Arabidopsis thaliana: one gene and its partner. The protein of the gene in region 2 interacts with the protein of the main gene of each other region in a pairwise test. Each region holds a gene or a part of one and is shown on either strand. Other genes may lie near its edges.

Evidence for each region.
Region 1: the proteins of AT1G24050 (region 2) and AT4G30330 interact in a two-hybrid assay, tested with the Arabidopsis thaliana proteins (one large-scale study listed by BioGRID).

What each region holds. Positions count from the first base shown.
Region 1 is NC_003075.7:14,835,950-14,839,876, forward strand, and holds AT4G30330 (Small nuclear ribonucleoprotein family protein), read right to left. Parts: upstream 2,201-3,927; 5' UTR 1,971-2,200; coding exon 1,929-1,970; intron 1,838-1,928; coding exon 1,811-1,837; intron 1,696-1,810; coding exon 1,633-1,695; intron 1,161-1,632; coding exon 1,082-1,160; intron 988-1,081; coding exon 942-987; intron 834-941; coding exon 824-833; 3' UTR 599-823; downstream 1-598. Other genes in the region: AT4G30320 (CAP (Cysteine-rich secretory proteins, Antigen 5, and Pathogenesis-related 1 protein) superfamily protein), read left to right, coding at 1-369; DGK7 (diacylglycerol kinase 7), read right to left, coding at 2,516-2,674, 2,754-2,870, 2,958-3,045, 3,129-3,206, 3,305-3,375, 3,478-3,560, 3,667-3,927.
Region 2 is NC_003070.9:8,504,889-8,509,535, reverse strand, and holds AT1G24050 (RNA-processing, Lsm domain-containing protein), read right to left. Parts: upstream 2,569-4,647; 5' UTR 2,480-2,568; coding exon 2,326-2,479; intron 2,220-2,325; coding exon 2,054-2,219; intron 1,959-2,053; coding exon 1,878-1,958; intron 1,394-1,877; coding exon 1,270-1,393; intron 1,139-1,269; coding exon 1,097-1,138; 3' UTR 627-1,096; downstream 1-626. Other genes in the region: AT1G24040 (Acyl-CoA N-acyltransferases (NAT) superfamily protein), read left to right, coding at 2,783-3,742; AT1G24030 (Protein kinase superfamily protein), read right to left, coding at 4,341-4,580.

The DNA of each region.
Region 1 (3,927 bases), on a different chromosome or scaffold from region 2:
CATTTAAGGCTCAAACCGCTAAAGTGGGACGCCAAATTGGCCCGTTACGCGCAATGGTGGGCTAACCAGAGACGCGGTGACTGCGCCTTGACCCATTCCAATGGACCCTATGGTGAGAATCTCTTTTGGGGCTCAGGCAATAGATGGGGTCCATCTCAAGCCGCCTATGGATGGTTGTCTGAAGCAAGGAGCTATAACTATAGATCTAACTCGTGCAACTCCGAGATGTGTGGCCATTACACACAAATCGTGTGGAAGAACACACAAAAGATTGGTTGCGCTCACGTGATCTGCAATGGCGGAGGAGGCGTATTCTTGACTTGCAATTATGATCCACCGGGGAATTTTCTTGGTAGGAAGCCTTATTGAGTATGATTTTATTTGTATATCTAAAAAAACTCATGCTAAAAGAGGTTGTTCTTACGTTTTAACTTTTTCTCTTTTTGTATACAATGTTATTTTTTATTGGTAACGTGAGATCGGGAAAACAACACAACGTATGTTTCTCCCAACATTTTCTTATGTGTGATTTATGCGAGGGCCTTCTTTTGACTAATAAGACCAACGAATCATATTAATATCAGATTTTGGATCGTAATCTAACCAAATAGACAAATATTAGACATTTCTACAATCTTCTTGGATTTGAGGTCTTTTTTGATGAAACTATTTTCTCATAATTTTGTTTGCAAAGTTGAAATTTCTCAAGTTGACAGAAGTAAACAGCAAAAAGACAACTTTTACCCAACAGAGAAACGAGAGGGGAGCAGGAACTCTTAAACCATTCCATATAATTAGATCATTCCTTGCACTGCAACAGACATCACTTGCCCCTGTAATAAGATATATAAGGGATTGAGTTTGTATCTCAACATTCATGGAGAGACGAATTGAGAGATATGGGAAAGAAAGGATCTGAAGAGGATAATAATGATACTTACGCGTTCATCATGAGAGTTATGTTGTCTCCTTTAAGCAAAATCCGACCTGAAAATCCAGTATTTGCGAGAGTTAGCACCAAAAACAAAACCAATATAAGAAATGTGAAAGGAGTCTTGTAGGAGAGTAGCAAGTAACTCACCAAGTGGTTTTCTGGTTTTCTTCTTGATGCTCACTTCCTCTGCCTCATCCAGCACCAAATTCATGTACTCATCAAAACCCTGCACAATGCAAATGTTAAAATAACGAAACAATGAAACACTCAACGTCAACTAAACAACTCGTGGTTAAAGATCTAAGACAACCAAGACATTGATAAATCTTAAGCTTCACAGAAAAGAACAAACTCTGTTATTATCTCAAGAAAGAAATTCTAGCAATACAATCTCAGTCTTAAATCTAGATAATACGCACCAACCGAAATAACCGAACTCATTGCTATCAATTGGTCCCTTACTATCAAACAATGTATATAAACTCAACGGTAACTAAATCAGCGTAGCAATCAAAATTCGAACAACAAATAGAAACAGCATTATGAAAAATTCCAAGATGTTACACTTCACTTTAAAAGTGTAGCTAGAATCACACAGCTTAACTAACACAAGCATGTCAAATTTTCTAGTTTAACCTATCAACAAAGCAAGAAAGTTCAAAATTTTGTGCTAAGCTCGAAACAGGATTATGACTTACAGTAATTCGTCCCTCAATCCTCAAATCTTTCTGCTCAAAAAGCCAAATCTGAATCCGAGCTTTCTACATTATAAGAAGAACCACACTATATATATAAGTACACACCTCTCACAAACTCAATGGTGTTCCCAAATAGAGTAAAAGTGACGAAAATTAACAGAGTAATCGAAAAACTTACACTTTGGAGAAATCTGAAAATCAGATTCTGAAATCAAAAGTAAGAAGAACAGTGAGCTAAACAGAAACAATAAAAAAAAAAAAAGATCGAATTAGTAAACAGAAATCGAGGAATGTACAATGGGTTGAGTCATAATCCTCTGAACTTTGGTGCTCGCCATAATTGCCTGAAGTTGCAAGTGTTCTTCGGAGCTGGAAAACTCAGTGAAGAAGATAGATTTTCTAAAACCCTAAAACTTGCAATTTCTAATTCGATTTTTCTCTCTTCCTCGCGAGACAGAACAAATATTTCACACTTTTCGACTTCTCAAATATATGTTTTACTCTTCCCATCCTCGAAAATCTGCTATTTTCATTTTTCTCCCCACAAAAACATTATTTAACTTTTTAGACCCATTACTACTATCTCCAAAACACTGAAAAACGACTTAAGAAACAGAGTTTAAAGACAGCAAAATCATGTTTACAAGATTTCAAGGTCTACCTGAAGATGATTGCTTATATCTTAATTGTATATTAATGACTATTGAATAAATAACCATCTTTTTTTGATAAAATACACAAAGTTAAATGCTTCACTAGCACAACAACAGCCGTAGCAAAAGCTCAACATAGATCACTATTTTGACTAATTGATGGAACAGAAATACATAAAGAATCATGCTTTTTTAATCCTTTTACAACTTCTTGAAAAGAGTTTCCTCGATCATTCGCCATTGATCATTAACGATTGAAAAGGAACCTTTTTTATCTCTACAAAAGTCGAATAATCACTCTTCATCGGTTGTTTCCATGGTTCACCATCCATTTGCAAGAATGCATTTTTCCAATCACCTCCTCTTAGTTCAAATCTAATCGCAGCCGCCTAAAACGATAAACGGTTTAATATCAAACCGAGGTTAAACCGATTCTTATAAAGAAACTTTGGATGTATTTTGTTGTACCTGAGCAATGTGCTTAGCTGAGATAATTTCAGCCATTACAAATGACGCATGCCAACCTTGCTTTAAACCGAAGATCTCTATCAGTCCGTCATCACAATGCGCCTCCACAAATCCTCTCTGTTATAAAACCCGAACACGTTCTGTTAAAGCTTGTAGAGAAAGCAATAAAACCTAAGATTAGTGTACTGAATAAAACATTATTACCTTCTCTAAATATTTTGGTCTGAGATTACCCCATGGATGTCTTCCACTTCCATAGTTATAAAGATTCAACACCACAATAGATCTTACGCTACACCAAAACAAAACCAGAGAGATTATAAGTGAAGCCATTTTTTTAGTTTTAATCAAAGATAAGATTAGTTTTATATGAACCTCTTAGGAACATGGATCTCTTCCCACTCGGAACAATTTGCCTTTTTAATATGGATTTTCATAATGTTTCTTAGTCCCCTGCAAATTCATCTTACCACAACATGTCAACACAACAAGAGACAGGAATTGAGTAAAGAAAAGGCTTTTGGTTTACTCTCTTCACAGAAAATGCTAACCTTAAAGCTGGATTGTTGACACAAGGCGTGCAAAACCAACCTTGAGTACAACTGTAACTCGAATAGATAATCTGCAAAACCGAAACGAGTGTGATTCATAATCTCATTACAAACCAAAAAAACAGCTAATTAATGAAACTTAGACAAGAATGAAGATTCTGATATATAGCAACCTTATTTGTAACAGGGCCTTGAGCTAGATACGGTTTCTCATTGCGAAGATGGTGGAACCCATATGCAACTTGAGCATCCATACCTAAACAACACAAGAAAATACCAAATTACTTCAAAAGGTTTAACTTTGTAGAAATTTATTAAGAACAATGAAAGATAAAGTTACTTCATGTATCCAAATTCCAAACCTATGCTGAAGTAGTTGTAGAACACTCCTTCATAAGACTTTGCTTTAGGAGGTACATCTCCATCAGCATCCAAAGCCTGATCAAGTGCAGTTTCCTCTATTGTAGGCTTCAAAGAATAAGGAGGATCAACGACTTCTCCAGATGGCATCGACACTACAATCTTCCAGCTATCTAATCGAGCAATGGAACCTAAAGTTGCTCGATGTAATGTTCTTTTCATAGCAGATCTCCAAGCAAAAGGGAATGAACCACCCCAACTAA
Region 2 (4,647 bases):
CAGGTTAGTCTCTTTTCATCTTGAGTTCAGTAATGTTACACTGTTGCTGTGGTGGTGTCTTCTTGCTGGTAAATGGTTGTGTTTTCAGGCTTGTGTTAGTAGTGGATTGCTAAAGAAAGCAACTCAATCTCAGCGAAATACTCAACAAGTAGAAGATTAGAAGCAAGTGTGTGGATTGTTTCCTTTGGCTTCTTAGTAGGGTTTTTGTTGCCTTCTTAATAATTTTTGTGGCTCATAGTTTAGTGGTGTTTTGCACTAAAGATAGGTTAAGGTTTTGGTGATAAGTATCTGTTAGAAGCAGAACTCTCGCGTCGATCTATGATACTTATAAGTTCCAATGTTGAATTAACACATTGTCTTACTAGTTTTTGGATTCAATTTACAACATTCTTAAAGCTTTGATTCAAATGATATCAAGCAACCTGAGTGATCATTGTTATATCTCCATCTCCTCATGCAAGCGCTTATCCAGAGTTAGCTTAGTCGTAACGTAAAATTTCATTCGCATGTAGCATCAATGTTGGTTTCTAATCAACAAGTTAGCTCACGCTTGATCACCCAAACGCAAAGTAGTTGTGTCCATAGTTGTATATGTTGTGTATCGAATAAGATGGTTTTATACATCACCACGGTCTATTATGATCATCATTGGAATCTATACACAGTTCAATACTAACAATCAACAGAAAAATATTTCTTATAACTTTTGCATTGATCAAGGAACTCAGTTCTAGAGCACACGAGATGTAAAAATCTACCGGAGAAGTCACTAAAAAGTAGTTCAACATTTCAGAATAGTTTACAGTTCCAGGCGATAAATAAACCAAGCCCTGGTAAAAAGTGGACAAGACAAGACCTCACTGTTCTTGTCAATAACCAGGGTGAAATTAGTCCAAATTTCAATCCCTGTAAGGCTGTAACTCAAGAAATCTCTAATCTGCTTTTACAAGGACAAGCAGATTCTAAGTAAAGACAACAACATGCGAAAAGCAAACATATCCGCTTTTCGCTGGTCGATCAGATCTATAGACGCCTTTCGGGTTAGTAGCAACGAACCCTTTCTCGCTATTTCACTGACCGACTCTTTTCACTAGCCTCATGTGCCAAAGAGTTGCAACCTTCGTCTTTCCAGCTCAAGCTGCGATAAAAGCAAAATTGCATTACTATCACACCCAAGGCTTGATCAACGTTACACGATTGAATGCAAATGACTAATATAACACCAGAGGCTTAATTGGCATTACACAATGAACTGAAAGTGACGCTTACCACTTTCTTGACTCGGTTGTTGGCAGCATCAGTTCCTCCAAAGACACAATCTGAAAGATACGGGCTACGAACGCGTACCTCTTTCATCACCAGAATGTCTGAGTTTTCCCATTGCACAGGAAGCCTAAAAGGAAAATAATTCACATGTGATTCATTCGAAAGAGAAAAAGCAAATTCAAACAAAGAAAGTTTAAGGATTTATGTAGTCTAAAACTATGTATCTAGACAGCTTCTTAACTGTATCAGTATCACAAAGAAGACTAAAGATACTTGACACTAGAGCCCACAACATATGTAATCTACAACAACCACAAACATAGAAACTTTACATATATATAGTTGCAAACTAGCATCACCGGAAACCAAGAGCAAAACAACACTAAATCATGTCCAGATCCTAACAATTTATCTTTGGGAATAACACATTAGACGCACAAAACAAAATCCTCCAACCCAAGCAATTGTTTACAAAGAACTAATAGTTCAACTAAACAACATTAGATTACGATCTCGTCCCACCTCTCTACCGTATACTCTAAGCTGTGTTTCCTTCTTAGAGATTAGCTTATTTTTCGATCCGAAAACGTATAAAAAGAGAAGATCCTTACGTCTTAGACAACGCGTCGAAGATGCTCTGAGCCTCAGCGGTAACACCAACTCCCATTCTTTCAGCATCTGCTTCCGCTTGCCTGTGCTCAATACGTTTTCCCAAGTAAGCTCAAAACAAGCAAATAGCAATAAAAATTGCATTTTGAAAGGATTCAACAACAAAATATCTTATCACCTGATAGCAAGTGCCTCTTTAGCTCGGAGACCATTAAGATCAACAGAAAAGTTGTCTGAATCAAGTGGATCTTCAGTTTTGCCTAAATACGAAAGCCCTGTAATAAAACTCGCATTCACCATCCGAGTGTTCTTCAAATGCCCAGGTCTAGGTTTTGTACCCTCTTGTAATAACCAATAACTCGTCAAGGATAACACAATTCAGGTCAAGACATTGAAAATACCTAAATCTCAAATTTTGATGAAACAAACAATTAAAGAAATTAAGGATATCAAAAAAGACGAAGTTGGGGATGGGGTCGTAAGCCATGACGATCCCTCTGAACTCATCTCCGGTGATCACCTTCACTGAATAAATATTCCCCACCGCGAATTTCTCTCCTTCTCCTCCGATTGCGCTGGCCACCGATGCTCCTGCTGGATCCATGGCGGCCGTCCTCGCTCCTCCTCCGTCTTCTGAAATCGCCGAACTTCGGAAAAATTAAAACTATATATATCGCAATATGGGCCTTAAGCCCAAATAGCTACTGGCTTATAACAGTTTCCTCATTTTTATATCAGTATATGGGCCATAAGGGCCCAATAACTACTGAGCTTCATGATTAGTTCAAAACGCGGCGTTTTAAAGATTAGTGTATGACTGTTACTTTATCCATTTTATTTCGTTATAAACAGATTAGCGAACACTGAACCACAATCAAATCGGAGAAAATCGTGTGTGTGTGTGTCAATGGCGGCTTTAAGCATCTCACTAGCTTTCTCTGTTGATTCTCTCAAACCAACCCAATCAACGAAGTTTGGCTTCTCGTCTTCTTCACATAGATATCCATTACTCTACTCGTGTAAATCTCACCGCTCCAATCTCAGATTCGCTTTCCCTCCTTCTTCAGTTTCGACAGCTACAGAAACTGGAGAAGAAAACTCTAAATCGACCGGGAATTACGCGTTTCTAGAGGAATCGTTTCGTACCGGGAGGTTTTTGAGTAACGATGAGTTAGAGAAGCTTAAAACTCTTGAAGGATTTGCGTATTTTCAAGAGCTTGAATCTGGATCGATGTGGGTTCGAGTTATGAGACATGAAGAGATGGATTCAACGGTGCATCTATTGGCTGAGTCATTTGGTGAATCGATGTTATTACCTTCTGGTTATCAGTCTGTGTTACGGTTTTTGATTAAGCAGTATTTGATTGAGAGAAGAGAAGTGTTGCCACACGCAGTTACTTTAGTTGGTTTCTTTAGGAAAAAAGTTGATGAGTTTAGTGATGATGGAGAGGAGGAGGCTGTGATGGCTGGAACTGTTGAGGTTTGTTTGGAGAAACGAGGCGCTAATGCTTCTCCTCCTTCTCCAACTCCTCCTAAGGAATCACCTTATATCTGTAACATGACTGTCAAAGAGGATCTTAGAAGGAGAGGAATTGGGTGGCATTTGTTGAAGGCGAGTGAGGAACTGATATCTCAGATTAGTCCATCAAAAGATGTATACTTGCATTGTAGGATGGTTGATGAGGCTCCTTTCAATATGTACAAGAAGGCAGGATACGAGGTTGTTAAGACAGATACAGTTTTGGTCCTTCTGATGTTACAGCGGCGTAAGCATTTGATGCGGAAGAAACTTCTTCCACTATGCACCAATCCTATAGTAGAAATGGTGGGGTCTGATAATGAGCTGACCTCCTCTGCAAATGTGTAAACATGGGTACAGTTTTTCCATCAGTGTACCAATTAGCTTTTAGTCTTCTTCTCAACCTTTTCTGAATTTATAACAAACATTGTGATTGGCTTTATTATGTAGGAGCTAAATGTGACATGACCAAGGGTCGGGTTGATAATCCCGTTTGCTTCGACCTATTGTTTATATGATCTTAGTAGAGGTACTCCACACACACTCTTATCTTTGTTATCTGCTTCCTGTATTGGCAGCGATTGTATTTCTTGTTCATAGACATGTGGTTAATTCTTTAGGCATTAGGCGAAAGAAGGAAAGAAAAAACAAGACTACACCCCTGAATTTATGTACTCATTTCTCTTAAAGCAAAACATTCATAGCAGCAAATACAACATACTATACGGATACATCTAGTGCTTGATTTTCTTAGTGAAATTATAGTATATATATCCAAATAATATCGCTTGATCAAAGTTTCCTAGCTGGAAGTTGAATTGAAATTATCCGGTAATTCATAATTAGTATTGTTTGTTTATATTTATCAAGTGTTTTTTTATCAGTGACCTCTCATTTTAGGAAAAATGACAGTAATCCATTTTACTTGTTTCGAAGAATTCAGTGTCTAGAGCCTTCTGAATGTAGGAATCGTCCCACCCAAACCACCCTTCGAGTTTGTGTAGATAATTAGTTGCAGTTCCTTAACACAATCCATCACTGAAGGTCGCTCTTTACTCTCTATACGGATGCACCGTGATGCTAGATCAGCAAACATGGTTATAGCTTCCATGCTGTATGAATTCCGAGGCAGCTCGACATCTATAACCTTACGCAATTTCTTTCTATCATTCAGTATATTCCTAACCTGAAACGTAGAGATAATTGATCAGTTTATTCCTATGTTAAGTTTCCTGATCTTTGAACTTTTTGTG